Linked DNA regions of Arabidopsis thaliana. Each later gene encodes a partner of the first gene's protein in a complex. Links are inferred from orthologs where the notes say so. Each region holds a gene or a part of one and is shown in the gene's direction. Other genes may lie near its edges.

The links.
Region 2: the proteins of AT3G47070 (region 1) and petB are in contact, whole or in part, in a cryo-EM structure (PDB 9ES7), measured with the Spinacia oleracea proteins. The link is inferred for Arabidopsis thaliana from one-to-one orthologs. Residues at the interface, in XP_056683494.1 of Spinacia oleracea: Lys44, Asp46, Gln47, Phe48, Tyr49, Glu50, Leu55; in NP_054964.1 of Spinacia oleracea: Pro28, His29, Pro214, Leu215.

The regions. Positions count from the first base shown.
Region 1 is NC_003074.8:17,332,452-17,344,087, reverse strand, and holds AT3G47070 (thylakoid soluble phosphoprotein), read left to right. Parts: upstream 1-6,354; 5' UTR 6,355-6,580; coding exon 6,581-6,883; 3' UTR 6,884-7,474; downstream 7,475-11,636. Other genes in the region: AT3G47090 (Leucine-rich repeat protein kinase family protein), read left to right, coding at 1-2,110, 2,215-2,576; AT3G47080 (Tetratricopeptide repeat (TPR)-like superfamily protein), read left to right, coding at 3,959-5,259, 5,427-5,673; ftsh7 (FTSH protease 7), read right to left, coding at 7,475-7,602, 7,764-7,887, 7,976-8,296, 8,395-8,520, 8,600-8,708, 8,800-8,924, 9,002-9,115, 9,203-9,289 and 5 more.
Region 2 is NC_000932.1:71,970-77,395, forward strand, and holds petB (cytochrome b6), read left to right. Parts: upstream 1-2,871; coding exon 2,872-2,877; intron 2,878-3,681; coding exon 3,682-4,323; downstream 4,324-5,426. Other genes in the region: psbB (photosystem II 47 kDa protein), read left to right, coding at 402-1,928; psbT (photosystem II protein T), read left to right, coding at 2,113-2,214; psbN (photosystem II protein N), read right to left, coding at 2,280-2,411; psbH (photosystem II protein H), read left to right, coding at 2,516-2,737; petD (cytochrome b6/f complex subunit IV), read left to right, coding at 4,512-4,519, 5,229-5,426. UniProt on the Arabidopsis thaliana protein: Component of the cytochrome b6-f complex, which mediates electron transfer between photosystem II (PSII) and photosystem I (PSI), cyclic electron flow around PSI, and state transitions.

The DNA.
Region 1 (11,636 bases):
TCTCTAATAGTGCTCAACTTGGGATATAATCATCTGGAAGGAGAAATTCCAGATGATATAGCTATGCTGAGTCAAATGGTGTCTCTTACATTAACAATGAACAACTTCTCTGGCGTTTTTCCTCCTGCTTTCTACAACTTGTCCTCACTTGAGAATTTATACCTCCTTGGTAATGGTTTCTCGGGTAACTTGAAGCCTGATTTTGGTAATCTGCTACCAAACATTCATGAGTTATCTTTGCATGGAAATTTTCTAACAGGAGCCATCCCAACAACACTTGCCAATATTTCAACTCTGGAAATGTTTGGAATTGGTAAAAACAGGATGACAGGAAGTATCTCTCCCAACTTTGGAAAACTAGAGAATTTGCATTACCTAGAACTTGCTAACAATTCTTTGGGAAGTTACTCTTTTGGAGATCTTGCATTTCTTGATGCTTTGACTAATTGCTCCCATTTGCATGGGTTATCTGTGAGTTACAATAGGCTTGGGGGTGCTTTGCCTACATCCATTGTCAATATGTCCACGGAACTCACCGTTTTGAACCTTAAAGGAAACCTCATTTATGGAAGCATTCCTCATGATATTGGAAATCTCATAGGCCTACAATCACTTTTGTTGGCAGATAATCTATTAACAGGACCACTCCCAACCTCTCTTGGAAATCTTGTAGGGCTCGGGGAATTAATTTTGTTTTCAAATAGGTTTTCTGGAGAGATACCCTCTTTTATAGGCAACCTTACTCAGTTAGTAAAACTATATTTATCCAACAATAGTTTTGAAGGAATCGTTCCTCCGAGTCTTGGTGATTGTAGTCACATGCTCGACTTACAGATTGGGTATAATAAGTTAAATGGGACTATACCTAAGGAGATCATGCAAATCCCAACCCTTGTTCACCTCAACATGGAATCTAATTCTTTGAGTGGCTCTCTACCAAACGATATTGGAAGATTACAAAATCTTGTTGAGCTATTACTTGGGAATAATAACTTATCAGGACATCTCCCACAAACTTTGGGAAAATGTCTTTCGATGGAAGTTATTTATCTACAAGAAAACCATTTTGATGGAACCATTCCAGATATAAAAGGGTTGATGGGTGTTAAAAACGTTGATTTGTCAAACAATAATCTCTCTGGAAGTATATCTGAATATTTTGAAAACTTTTCCAAGTTGGAATATCTCAATCTATCCGATAACAATTTCGAGGGAAGAGTCCCAACAGAAGGAATATTTCAAAATGCTACTTTAGTTTCAGTATTCGGAAACAAAAATCTTTGTGGAAGCATCAAGGAACTGAAACTAAAGCCATGCATTGCCCAAGCACCACCAGTGGAGACAAGGCATCCATCTCTTTTGAAGAAAGTTGCGATTGGGGTCAGCGTAGGCATAGCTTTGCTTTTGCTATTGTTCATAGTTTCTCTAAGCTGGTTCAAAAAAAGAAAGAACAACCAGAAGATCAATAATTCAGCTCCTTTTACATTGGAGATTTTCCATGAAAAGCTAAGTTATGGAGATCTACGAAATGCGACAGATGGCTTCTCTTCGAGCAATATAGTTGGGTCAGGTAGTTTTGGTACTGTGTTTAAGGCATTGCTCCAGACGGAGAACAAGATTGTTGCAGTGAAAGTTCTAAACATGCAGAGACGTGGAGCTATGAAGAGCTTTATGGCAGAATGTGAATCTTTGAAGGATATAAGGCATCGTAATCTCGTGAAACTATTGACAGCTTGCGCTAGTATTGATTTCCAAGGTAACGAATTCAGAGCTCTCATCTATGAGTTCATGCCGAATGGAAGTTTGGATAAATGGCTGCACCCAGAGGAAGTCGAAGAGATTCATAGGCCCTCAAGAACTTTGACACTTCTTGAAAGGCTTAACATTGCCATAGACGTGGCTTCTGTTTTGGACTATCTTCATGTTCACTGTCATGAGCCTATAGCTCATTGCGATCTTAAGCCAAGCAACATACTTCTCGACGATGATCTAACTGCCCATGTTAGCGACTTCGGTCTCGCTCGTCTTCTCCTCAAATTCGACCAGGAGTCTTTCTTCAACCAACTAAGCTCAGCTGGTGTTAGAGGAACCATTGGGTATGCCGCACCAGGTAAAACTATTACACATATGGAACGTTTAAATGAAGAATATTTATGTGTTCCTTTTTTCATTACAATCTTGTTGTCGTTTTTGTGTGTGTGAATTATGGTGCAGAATATGGAATGGGAGGACAACCGTCAATACACGGTGATGTATATAGCTTTGGGGTTCTCGTTTTGGAAATGTTCACTGGAAAAAGACCAACCAATGAGTTATTTGGAGGAAACTTTACCCTGAACAGCTACACCAAGGCGGCCTTGCCAGAAAGAGTTTTGGACATTGCAGACAAATCGATTCTTCATAGTGGTCTCAGAGTTGGTTTCCCTGTACTTGAGTGCTTGAAAGGGATTTTGGATGTGGGACTTAGATGTTGTGAAGAATCTCCGCTGAACCGGTTGGCAACGAGTGAAGCAGCCAAGGAGTTAATCTCAATCAGAGAGAGATTCTTTAAAACCCGGAGAACAGCCAGACGTTGAAGTGTTTATGGTTTTCTCTACAAACTTTGCCATCCACTTAAAAGCCTTACTTTGAGGCCTATATAATATCATACTGTCTTTCGTAATCTGTGGTTTGTTTTTTTCCTCTGTTTATGCTCTCTTATTTCCATCATTGTCTTAAACCCTAAACCCTCGTTTCTCTTTCTCGTTGCTGCAAATCTAAAACGCATAATTGGGCTCCTCAATAAACCCTAAACCAGACAATTCTTGGATCTCTATCCTTGTCTTTTCGTTACTGTTTTGATGCTTCTTGTTTCCTGCTGTTAGGTTTTGGAAACTAGACTACAGTTTGCAGTTTCTTGGCTGGGAAGTCATGTAAAGCCAAATACAGAGACTCTTTAAATCCAAAGACTTGGGTCCAATGGTCGATGGGTCCATATTCGTGATAAGATATAAAGCCCATTTAGTTTTGTCAAGGCCCCAAGTACTGTTTAATGTTGTTGTCTTTCATTATATGTAATTGTATGGTTATGCCATAAAATTGCACTAAACAGTGCATCATGCATATAGACTTATCTCTGTATTTGGTAAAGATAATCCATTTTCTTGAACGTATATCTATATCAAGATTTTAAAGCTTTTTCTAAAAATCTGATTCTAATTTTTGTTAAAACAAATCTTATTAGAGAATGAGATAATCTACTCTAAAACAAGCTATTTTCTTTTCATACTTTCGTTTTCAGGAATAAATCGAGAAAATACAAATTTCATAACACTCAATATCGAGAAAACCCAAGTTTGTGTCCTCGTTAGGTCCGTGAACCCATCTCCATATTCTTCAACCCCCTACGTGGCAATAGATCAAACCGAAGCTATATCAACCAACACGTGATTCATTCTCATCCGTCAGATCAAGATCGATGAAGCCGCGATGAAAGCAAAATTTTCCCGAATAAACCGCGTCGCTTAGTTTAGCCGAATCCTTATCATTCATCACCTGTAACCGTCTCTACCCGTGGAATAAATAAATAAAACCAATCTCTTCTCTAAAATAGCACGCGCCTTTTCACCGCCTATATCCGGTAAATTAATTAAATAATTTACTAATTTTTCTCTCTTGGTATATAAACATACAAGGGCTTTTGTCTTCTTCTTCTTCTTCTTCTCTGTTTCTAACAAAGTTCAGGAGCTCTCGTAAGCCTCTGAATTCGATTTGACCTGACAACCATACAAAAAATTCTCCCGAGAAAATCTCTCTCTCAACGAACGAATTTCGAATCACCAAGAAGAAGTAAGCTCTCTCTCTTTCTCATTCTCATTCTCTCTTATCTTTCAATTTCTCGTAATCAATTTTGTCTTAATCTTTATAGCTTTTCTCGATTTATACAGATTCTGAGATTTGTTTGCGTTTCATCGGAATAATGGAAGTGAAAGTAGCAACAACGACGTCGTTTCATTGGTCAGGACGACACACAGCGATTCCTCAATGTCCGTCATTTTCGCAAACCCTAACTTCATCTAAACGCCGTCGTTCTCGTGGAATAGCCGGTGATGTTTCCGTCGGAGGAGGATCTTTGAGATTAAAACCTTCGACGTTTCTCGGAACACAATCTGGGAAACTTCACCGATCTAAATCATGTGAGCTTTGGCAATTTTCTAATTCCACCACGAAGAAGATTAGAACTGATGTGAAGAAGAAACATAATCCTTTGAGAAGAGTTTGTAGTGCGAGCTCCGGTTTCTTCTCCTCCGACGAAGCATTCTCTGTGAAAATGCAGGAATTAGCTTCACAATTCAGAAACGCAGGCGATGAAGAAGAAGAAGAGAACAAACAGAAATCAGAAGCAGTAGATAACGATAACGATAGCAATAATCATAGATTTGGTTCTTTGAAGCTATTACAAGAGTCTGTTCCAGGTTTAGCTTCTTTGGAAGCTCCATGGGCAGAGATGGTTAACCATTCAAGTATTGAGCGTAAAGCAAACAGTGTTGATTTACCTCTATCACTTAGGATAATAAAGAGGAAGTTACAAGAAGAAGCTCTTAAGAAAGCTAGTGCTACTACTTACTGTTCTATCAATAGAGCTTTTTCTTCTATGGTTTTCATGATTGAGGAGCTTCATAGCTTTGCGTTGCAGACTAGAGTGGGTGTTCTTAAGCAGGTTAAGAAGGAAATGCACGCTTCATTGTTGTGGATTTTCCAACGTGTGTTCTCTCAGACACCTACTTTGATGGTTTATGTGATGATCCTTTTGGCGAACTACACTGTGCATTCAGTTGCATCAAACCTACCTATTGCAGCATCTCCTCCAGTTGTTAATAAAGGTCCGGATCAGACGCAACAAAGGATTGATTTTTCTTCGTTAAAGGAGTCTACGAAGCTTGATGGGTCCAAATGGTTAGGATCGATCAATTTTGACAAGGTTTCCCACTTGCCGAGACATCGAGACTCGGTTTCAGGAGAAGGGATGAGAGAAGAGGAGGTGAGTCTGTGGAATTCGATGGTGGAAGAAGCAGATCAAATGCAAGATTCCTCTGTTGATCGTGACATGAGATTGAGACTTGTTTCACCGATCACTGCAAGGATTGAATTGGATGATTATGCCAATTACACTAGAACTGAGCTTTTATATAAGATAGGTTTGGCTCAAGAGCCTGACAATCATCTGCTCCTAGCTAACTACGCTCAGTTCCTTTACCTCGTTACTCAAGACCATGAGAGGTGAGATATCCTTTTAACCTATTCTTGCATCTAACATTCAAGACTTTATTACCTGTACTTTGAGAAGTATATGCTTGCACTTGACACATTGAGTATCAAAAGATTGGTTATGATTCTATGTAACTCTGGAACTTGACAAATGATGTTTGCTTTTGGTTATGTATTAGAGCGGAGAACTGCTTCAAGAAAGCAATAGAGTCAGAAGATGTAGACGCAGAAACGTACAGCAAATACGCCATCTTCCTGTGGAAAGTTCGGAATGATCTCTGGGCTGCTGAGGAGAACTTTCTAGAAGCTATATCTGCAGACCCTACCAACTCCTTCTACGCCGCCAACTACGCCAATTTCCTCTGGAATACCGGTGGTGAAGAGACGTGTTTCCCTTTAGAAGATTCTACTCAGGAAATGGTTTGAGAAGGAGCGAATGGCAGTGAATGGATGTTGGTTTGTTTGGAGTGAAGAGACAGCGACACGGAACTTAGGTACACGATAGAAGCAAGAGGAAAAGTGTAAGTAGTGTTTTTGAGTGAACCATTGCGGCTGATGAAACATTGCTTCTCTTTGGTTCTTTTTTCTTTTTGCTTTTGCCTAATTTTTCACTCAGTAGTATATACGGTCGCAGATTCCATCGAATAAGAACATGTGTAGATCCAACACTATTACACGAATAATAAACACTGAGCATTGCTTTTGGTGAAATAATAAGTGCGCATATTTGAATCGTTTAATGGAATTTATCTTGTAACTTTCTTCGAGCTTCGTTCATCAGTGTTGTGGCGCTACTCGTAGGAGTCTACTCTAGAGCTTTATATCCCATCTTGTCACAGTTCCTTTTAAAGAAATGGGCCTCGTCGGCCCAATAACAGAAAAAAGGTTTTTAGTTTTGATCAGAGTCTCAAGTTGCAGCAGCTAACAACCAACATGGTCAGGGACAAGATCACACACTTAAAAAAAATCAAGTCGTGTCTCTTCCGCATTCATACATTTCATTTGACAAATAAATTATAAATCTGAAATTGAAGACTTTGACTCTCTGTGCAAATTTCCGTTTAAGAACTTGAGAAGAATATACATAAATTGTGCCAAGATATATCTAAAAACAATTAAACCAAAAAAAATGTATCCAAGTGATTCAAAGAAAAATGTGTGAAGGGAAAAAAGAAAGAGGATAAGACACTTGTGGAGAGCTTGTGCCAAAAAAATCCAACGGCTCAGATTCAACCAACCTCGTTATAATCCCTTCGTAACAAATGCCACACGAAGACACACATACACACACTACCGATAAAGAAAAACCAGAGAAGAGAGAGAGATAACAACAATGGTTTCTTCGCTTCTTATGTCATTTGCTCCGGCCACCGTGAGGGTTTACGCCACAAGCACAAAGGGAGGTTCAGGCGGCCCAAAGGAGGAGAAGAATCCCATCGACTTTGTTCTTGGGTTTATGACAAAACAAGATCAGTTCTATGAGACTAATCCACTTCTAAAGAAGGTGGATGAGAAAGAAGGCACCACCACCGGAGGCCGAGGAACCGTTCGCGGTGGTAAAAACTCAGCTCCGACGCCTGTGCCGAAGAAGAGCGAGGGTGGATTTGGTGGCTTAGGAAGCCTCTTCAAGAAATAGAAGAAAAAAATGTATAGTAATTTGCATTATTCATGCCTCTGTTTTCATTCTCTATAATTCTTCGGATTTCACTTATATATAAGCTACTCTTTCTTAATCTTATTTGACATCACATGATCTAGTTATTTATTTTTCTGAACATTTTCAAGATTAACTCCACTACTTCGAGAAATCTGAGAATAATAGACTAATATGAGTAATGCTAATGCAACTTTTTCTGGAGTACAATGAGTGATGCTGTTGCAACCTTTTGTGGGGGTCTTTAAGATCTTTACACATATCAGTCTGGCTTTTTATACATATGAATCAATTATACACTTTTTTGCCAAGTTAAAGAGACTGTATCTAGCAAGAATACCAAATCTTAAAACACATCCACCAAAATCTATGAGTTATCACCAAAAGTCATATCCCAATATGGTTCTTCAAGTTTGATTCAAGTGTTCTATGCATGCTGGAACCATGGATGCTAAAGGGCAATGGTGATAACCAGATCTGACCTGGAGATACAGAAGGCAGCAAGGAAAGAGCTGATGATCCGTGTTAGATACTGTCTTTATAGCTATAATTGATGATAGAACAGAGTAGTTGTTAACTGGAGCTAGCTTGTGCTGGGAGCAAAAGCTCTTGCTTTCCTTCGACAAAGACTGCGAGTTCTTCTGGTGCAACCACCATGCTTAACCACTTCTGCAGTTCTTCACCTTCTACTTTCTCTTTCTCTGCACCAAAACATGATATTTCATCAGCAAAATCAGCCAGTTGTCACATGAACCAAACTCAAGACAAGGGATATAATCTTTCTCGCAAGCAGTTATATCCTTTAGTGTCCTACATGTTTTCAAAAACTGTTCTGATGAAAACAAATAAACTTATACTACACCTTCAAGTTGAGCACCAAGCCCTTCCAATACATCTGGATTAGCGCGTACAACAGACAGCGCAACATCGAGAGCAGATTGTAACAAAATTGTCACTTCTTTTTGAACAAGATCAACTAGTTTCCCCTGTGTATTAACATGGAAGGTTAACTTTTGCATGGACAATTGGAAATTATAAGACAACCTAGGCAAGTGCATTGCAACATGAAGTTACCTGATCTCTTCCCCATGGCGAGCCTCCAGAATCGTCAATCCCACCACCAGAAAGTGTAGCCACAGACACAGGTCCGATTTTTTGGTTAAGACCGTATTCAGCTACTGCCTTGTATGCCATATCAGTTGCCCGCCTTATATCATCAAATGCACCTGTTGATATACGCCCTGAGTAAACAACTTCTTCAGCTGCACGACCTCCAAGAAGGGTAACTAAACGCCCAAGCAGCTCATCAATGAAGAGTAAATATCTGTCTTCACTAGTAGGAGGAATGTATGTAAATCCCAATGCCCCTCCTGTTCTTGGCAATATGCTTAATTTCTGACAACACCACAAAGATGAGCAAAACTTGAATCATTTGCACGTACTAAACAACATAAACAATGAGCGTAAATGTAGACAAAGTTTTTGCATTTTACCTCAACACGTGGCTGTCCAGTAAGAAGATTTGCAACAGCGGTACCAACCACTGCATGCCCAGCTTCATGCCTTGCGACCACTGCCTTCTCATTGCCTTTTAATCTTGCAGATTTCTTCTCTATGCCCTGAAACAGGTCTTTGTAAGAAAACACATTTTGACAATTGCCTTACGTAATCAATAAAACAGCGAGGTTATAGAGATACCGCTATTGATCGCTCCACAGCTTGAATGAAGTCAATTTTCTCAACGTTCGTCTTGTTCTTTCTTCCAGCTAGCAAGGCAGCCTCATTTACCAAGTTTGCAAGATCTGCCCTGCAAATAGGACAAAAGAGTTTATGAGATATACACCCAAAAACGTATAACTGAATAAACTTCAAATCATTGATAATATACAAAAGCGTACCCCGTGAAACCAGTGGTCATTGAGGCAATACTACCGAGGTTGACATCATCTCCCAAAGGAAGCTCTTTCTTTGACACATGTACTCTCAAAATGGATTCTCTTCCAATTTTGTCTGGCGTTTCCACCTGAAAAATGCATCAGTGCCTTTGAAAAAACCATATTAAACATTTACAAATAGGCAGAGCTGATCCATTCTACCAACCGTAACAACACGATCAAATCTCCCAGGACGACGCAGGGCCGGATCTAAGACATCGGCACGATTTGTAGCTCCAAGAACGATAACCGCAGAATTGCTGTCAAAACCATCCATCTCCTGCAGAAAAGTTTCCAACATGTGAATGGGTCATGGAAAGATCAAGAATGCTACTTACACAGGAAAGGTGCTTGACAGCAGACTTACAGTGAGCAACTGATTTAAAGTTTGCTCCCTTTCATCGTTGCTCCCCATTCGGAATTTACCATCACGGCTTTTTGCCACAGCATCTATCTGGAGCATGAGAGGCAAATAGAAAATCTTGTTTAAGATGCCCAGAGGTTTAATATACCGGAGGTAATCTGACATCGACTACCTATTCTAACCTCATCAATAAATATAATCGATGGAGCTTCCTTCTTGGCCCGTGCAAAAAGATCCCTTACACGTGAGGCACCCATACCGACATACAGCTCTACAAACTCACTTGCAGAGCAACTTATGAAGGGGACTTCAGCTTCCCCAGCAACAGCCTTTGCAAGAAGGGTTTTCCCTGTTCCGGGAAGACCAACCTGGAAAAGAAAGGAGTCAAAGGCATATCATTCTAAAGGAGAGCTCTTGTAACCAAACGTTAAACCATGATATATACGTAATATAAGAATAAAGTGAAATCAAATGATAAAACTCACCAATAGGACACCACGCGGAGGACGTGCACCTAGACGGACATACTTTTCAGGATTCCTAAGAAATTCCTGCATTGATTAACCGATGTGTAAAAGACAATTACCAAACCGAGAATAAAGCTATGAAAAACAATCTGATCATCAATAAGCATGTGCAGCGTCTTTAAGGACTGAAAAACCTACCACGATTTCTTCTAGCTCTTCCTTTGCTTCATCAACACCTGCAACATCCGCAAAAGTGATTGTTTCACCTCCACCAGAGACTTTTCCCCCATCAGGACCACCAGCCTTTCGGGTCCTAAGCTGGCCGGTTGAACTCTGTGTACACCCATAGTTCTTTTAGGAAATTCAAAATTTTAAACAACCACATTAAAGTATAGTAGAGATGCAAACCGTGGAGAAGCTAACAGGGAATCGAATAAGCCCAGCAAGTACCGCTATGTAGAAAAGAGCTATCTGCAACAAACAAAAATAGAAACTTTTGAAAAGACCCAACCTATTTTATAGCACAATCACCATTCATTGCAAAACTATAAAGCATCATCATCAAGGAGTAGGACAAATAGTAAAAATGAAACTATACCAATGCAGAGTTGAAGAAGCCACCAGAACGCTTCTCAGGCGATCCAAATTCCACATTATTCCCAAGCATCTTCTCATACGGTGTTTTGATATCACCCGGCCTAGTAGTGGAATACACAACCCTTTTCGTAGGAGCCACAGTTCTTAACAACGATTCAGACGACTGAGACAACCTACTAGTTTCACTCTCTTGCCACTTCCCATCATCTCTTAACTTAAACAAAACTTGAACCCCATCAACCTCCACTTTCTGCACCTGGTTACTGTTAACTTTACTTAAGAACTCACTATACGGTACACTCACAAAAGTCGTCTGAATTCGAGGCTCCGATCCAGGTAAAGGTATACCAGGTCGAAGCAATCGCATCACAAACATAACAACACTCAATTGCAACAACAAAACTCCAATCCCTTGCGCTTGGATTATTGGCTGCCACTGCCATTTCTTGCCCTTTGACCACCACACCTTATCTTCTTTCTTCTCTCTTTTCCTCTCCGACTTCGCCGGAGTACTCTGACTGCTTTCTTCCTCCTCACTAGAACTCTCGTTCTGATCATCTTCTTGACAATTCACAACTAATCTACTCTTCTTTCTTGAAAACCCATCCCAAAGATTAAACCTTTCGTGATTTCTCAACACTGTAACTTGTTTCTTCTGCAGAGGAAGCGTGATTGAATTGGAGACAAACCGATTCGGATTTTGGCGATAAACCCTACAACGATCGTTGAAAAATCTCGAAGCTTTCGAGTACAATAGACTATTACTACTACAACAAGTTGCAAATCCGTGGATTCTTGGTTGCAGAAATTCGAATGTAGTAGTCATTATTTCGAAACCCTAGAAATTGGGGAAATCAAAGGTAACACATTTATATCGATCTGTCTAATTTTCAATGAAGACGATGTTTGCTGGGAAATACGACTTCGAATTGTGACCGTTGGATCAAAGATATTAAAATTCGACCGTCGATACAACGGAGGACGGTTAATTATCTCATCGGCAAAGCTGAGTAATCAAGTGTGACACGGCGTACGGAACCGAATGGTGCAAGAGGACACGTGGACATATAATTGGAAGAATTAATATAGAGTTTATTGGGCCGAAAGAGGCCCAAAATCGGCCTAAAAGACAAATCACTCAATCATACTCTTTTCTTTTCTTTCCAAATTTCTTGCATCTTCTTTCTTTTTTTTGGTAGGGTTGGGGGACAATGTCCCCACATTTTATTAATTAAAAAAATTAAAACTAAATCAAATACGAACATTATGTGGGTATGCAGACCCGTTCGCATCATCAAAGACAATAGAGACAACCACATCCGGTCTACCCTCGAACAAATAAAAATCTAAGGGAAGAGAAAAAGCATAGTTAG
Region 2 (5,426 bases), on another chromosome or scaffold:
CTTTTTTCCTACTTTATTAATCATATTTAAATTAATGATATTTAATACATAAGTTGAATAAGCTAAAATAAAATATAAAATAAAAGTAAAGTAAGAGAGAATGAATAAAACTAAAGGAAATTTTTTACGAACGGGCTTCTGAATGATCAACAACAATAGCTATCTTGGTTCATAGAAAATAGGATTAACCCCCATTGCATATTGGTACTTATCGGATATAGAATAGATCCGCTTCCCTTTTTTTCTATGAATTGAATTGTTCCATTATTACTAACAGAATAGAACAAATATTAATCCTTTCTCCGAAATAATTACCTAAAAAGGGGGGGTACGTAGCATAGTTTTTTCCAATGCAATAAAGTTACATAGTGTCTATTTTTCGTTGATAAAGGGGTATTTCCATGGGTTTGCCTTGGTATCGTGTTCATACTGTTGTATTGAATGATCCCGGTCGTTTACTTGCTGTTCATATAATGCATACTGCTCTAGTTGCTGGTTGGGCTGGTTCGATGGCTCTATATGAATTAGCAGTTTTTGATCCCTCCGACCCCGTTCTTGATCCAATGTGGAGACAAGGTATGTTCGTTATACCTTTCATGACTCGTTTAGGAATAACCAATTCTTGGGGCGGTTGGAATATTACAGGGGGGACTATAACGAATCCGGGTCTTTGGAGTTACGAAGGGGTAGCCGGAGCACATATAGTGTTTTCTGGTTTGTGCTTCTTGGCAGCTATTTGGCATTGGGTATATTGGGATCTAGAAATTTTTTGTGATGAACGTACAGGAAAACCTTCTTTGGATTTGCCCAAGATTTTTGGAATTCATTTATTTCTTTCAGGAGTGGCTTGCTTCGGTTTTGGCGCATTTCATGTAACAGGATTATATGGTCCTGGAATATGGGTATCCGACCCTTATGGACTAACCGGAAAGGTACAACCCGTAAACCCGGCGTGGGGCGTGGAGGGTTTTGACCCTTTTGTTCCGGGAGGAATAGCCTCTCATCATATTGCAGCAGGGACGTTGGGTATATTAGCGGGCCTATTCCATCTTAGTGTTCGTCCGCCTCAACGTCTATACAAAGGATTACGTATGGGCAATATTGAAACCGTCCTTTCCAGTAGTATTGCTGCTGTCTTTTTTGCAGCTTTTGTTGTTGCTGGAACTATGTGGTATGGTTCTGCAACTACTCCCATCGAATTATTTGGTCCTACTCGTTATCAATGGGATCAGGGATACTTTCAACAAGAAATATATCGAAGAGTTAGTGCTGGACTGGCTGAAAATCAAAGTTTATCAGAAGCTTGGGCGAAAATTCCTGAAAAATTAGCTTTTTATGATTATATTGGTAATAATCCAGCAAAAGGGGGGTTATTCCGAGCGGGTTCAATGGACAATGGGGATGGAATAGCTGTTGGATGGTTAGGCCACCCCGTCTTTAGAAATAAAGAAGGGCGTGAACTTTTTGTACGCCGCATGCCTACTTTTTTTGAAACTTTTCCGGTAGTTTTGGTAGACGGAGACGGAATTGTTAGAGCTGACGTCCCGTTTAGAAGGGCAGAATCAAAATATAGTGTCGAACAAGTAGGTGTAACTGTTGAGTTTTATGGTGGTGAACTCAATGGAGTGAGTTATAGTGATCCCGCAACTGTGAAAAAATATGCTAGACGGGCTCAATTGGGTGAGATTTTTGAATTAGATCGTGCGACTTTGAAATCTGATGGTGTTTTTCGTAGCAGCCCAAGAGGTTGGTTTACGTTTGGACATGCTTCGTTTGCTCTACTTTTCTTCTTTGGACACATTTGGCATGGTGCTAGAACCCTCTTCAGAGATGTTTTTGCTGGTATTGATCCAGATTTGGATGCTCAAGTGGAATTCGGGGCATTCCAAAAACTTGGAGATCCAACTACAAAACGACAAGCAGTCTGATGCAACATTGCTTTTTTTCTTCTAGTTTCTGTTTGTTATTTTATTTAATAGGTAGGGTACTGTAGGAATCTTTATTTAAATCGCTGCCGTTTCTTTGACTCTTTTTCTTTCTTTATCCTCCCAAGTAAACAAAACGTAAACAAAACAGGTATGAAAGCTATAATTGTAAACCACGATCAAATTTATGGAAGCATTGGTTTATACATTTCTCTTAGTATCCACTTTAGGGATAATTTTTTTCGCTATTTTTTTTCGGGAACCACCTAAAATTTCAACTAAAAAATGAAATAATTTTTCATTATCTTCATTAACGTAATCAGCCTCCAAATATTTGGAGGCTGATTACGTTAACTAGTCCCCGTGTTCCTCGAATGGATCTCTTAGTTGTTGAGAGGGTTGCCCAAAGGCAGTATATAGAGCATACCCAGTAAAACTTACAAGTAACCCAGATATAAAGATGGCGACTAGGGTTGCTGTTTCCATTATTATAGAATTGAAAGACCACACCGGATCTATGCTAAGATCATTTATTTACAACGGAATGGTATACAAAGTCAACAGATCGTAATGAATACAAAATAAGATTTATGGCTACACAAACTGTTGAAGATAGTTCTAGATCTGGTCCAAGAAGCACTACTGTAGGGAAGTTATTGAAACCATTGAATTCCGAATATGGTAAAGTAGCTCCCGGATGGGGAACGACCCCTTTGATGGGTGTTGCAATGGCTCTATTTGCGGTATTCCTATCTATTATTTTGGAGATTTATAATTCTTCTGTTCTACTGGATGGAATTTCAGTGAATTAGACTGAGAAGAATCTTGAAGTTCTAGCTTTTAGCTCGATACAAAAAAGTAAAGTATGCAGGTCTAACAATTTTAGCCTATTCTCCTTTGGTAGTTCGACCGCGAAATTTTTTTCTGCATTGTATATTTCCGGAATATGAGTGTGTGACTTGTTAGAATTGACCCTATGGATAGTACAGAGAATGGGGTCTGTCATCTTTATCAAGATGGTTTTACTTCGTCGGATATTCATTCGAGTATCTGGAGCACGAAATAGATCAAATAGATCACAAAGTATTCGAACTATGATTCATACTTAAATACTCAAACCTCGTAGCCGGACTTCTTTCCGTTCTATCTTATAAACTTTAATAAATCAAAAAAATTTTCTGCTTTTAAACTCTTATTTGGATCAAAGGACAAACGCTTCTTTGTATTTTATGTTTTTAGTCATTATAGCTTTTTTTTTATTGAATAAGTGATGATCCAATGGTTCTCACTCAGTGAACTTTGGACTTTGAAGGTTTCATTAAATTATCGTGGTTCTCGTATGAATCTGAGGTTTCAATTGATTAGTTAAGTAGGGTCTTAACAAGAGAATTCCTATCAATAATAAAGAAAACAAGAAGAAATCCCTGTCCCCGTTCCATACAAATACCAAATAAAAAAAGACAATAAAGATAGGTAATCTAGAAGATTCAAGAGGCCTGTAACGATCAACACAACATAAAGACGAATGAGCTTACTTGATTTTTTGGCATTTAACCACAAAGACGAGCTTTCGCATTTTGACTCTTTCATATCTTTAAATAATAAAAAATAATATTGAATGAGAGACAAGTTTAAAACTTTATATTCCATATCTGTTTCAATCAGTATTTGGGTCTTTTTTTGTTTGAGCTGTACGAGATGAAATTCTCATATACAGTTCTTGGAGGGGGAGTAACCTTGGTTTACCTATCTCAATAAAGTTTATGATTGGTTCGAAGAACGTCTTGAGATTCAGGCGATTGCAGATGATATAACTAGTAAATATGTTCCTCCGCATGTCAACATATTTTATTGTCTAGGCGGAATTACCCTTACTTGTTTTTTAGTACAAGTAGCTACGGGATTTGCTATGACTTTTTATTACCGTCCAACCGTTACTGAAGCTTTTGCTTCTGTTCAATATATAATGACTGAAGCTAACTTTGGTTGGTTAATCCGATCAGTTCATCGATGGTCGGCAAGTATGATGGTCCTAATGATGATCCTGCACGTATTTCGTGTATACCTCACCGGTGGTTTTAAAAAACCTCGCGAATTAACTTGGGTTACTGGTGTGGTTCTGGGTGTATTGACCGCATCTTTTGGTGTAACAGGTTATTCTTTACCTTGGGATCAAATTGGTTATTGGGCGGTCAAAATTGTAACAGGTGTACCTGACGCTATTCCGGTAATAGGATCACCTCTTGTAGAATTATTACGCGGAAGTGCTAGTGTTGGACAATCCACTTTGACTCGTTTTTATAGTTTACACACTTTTGTATTACCTCTTCTTACGGCCGTCTTTATGTTAATGCATTTCCTAATGATACGTAAGCAAGGTATTTCTGGTCCCTTATAAATAATATAGATTCTAGGTATTTGTACTTACTTATTACTTGGTGAAGGAACGATAGTATTTTATTGCTATAAATATGGATTATTAAAAAAATAAAACATGTATTTGGATATTTCCCTTCAACTCCACAATATTTTATTATTTTTTTGACATAAAAAGTTGAAGGGAATTCTATGAAGAGATAATGGATTATGGGAGTGTGTGACTTGAACTATTGATCGGGCCGTGCAGAAATATTACTTTATCTGCTACATTGGAATTCACAACCAAATGTGTCTTTGTTCCAACCACTGTGTAAGCCCCATACAGGGGATAGGCTGGTTCACTTGAAGAGAATCTTTTCTATGATCGTACCCGACGCTGTCGTGGATGAGTGGGCTCCGTAAAATCCAGTAGATTAAGGGATGGAACAAAATCCTGATTATGTTTTTAGTTATTTTGGACTAAAAAAAAAAAAGAAAATAATTATTAATAGTAATAGTATGTAAATGCATTCATTTTCTCTGCATCGACTCGATTTATGATACTATCGGAGTGAATACAGGATCTAATGAAGAGTAGAGGGTAGACTCCATTAGTAACAAGTAAATCCTTTGTATTTGAAAAATCTCGATATAATTGTTGAGATTAAGGACGAATTTATAAGGTATGAGACGACCCAGAAAGCACTTAATCATGATAAACTTTTTAAGCTTACGTGGGTGTTGAGCATTTACCTGTAAGAATGGAATTTCTTGAATCTTTAGTTGCAATAACTTTGGAATCGGATAATTAATTTTTACATATTAAATTATATTTTTTGTATGTATTCATTTAGTTTGGTTAATTCTTGCTCGAGCCGGATGATAAAAAATTATCATGTCCGGTTCCCTCGGGGGATGGATCCATAAGAATTCACCTATCCCAATAACAAAAAAACCAGATTTGAATGATCCTGTATTACGAGCTAAATTAGCTAAAGGTATGGGTCACAATTATTACGGGGAACCCGCATGGCCCAACGACCTTTTATATATTTTTCCAGTAGTTATTCTTGGTACCATTGCCTGTAACGTAGGCTTAGCGGTTTTAGAACCATCAATGATTGGTGAACCTGCGGATCCTTT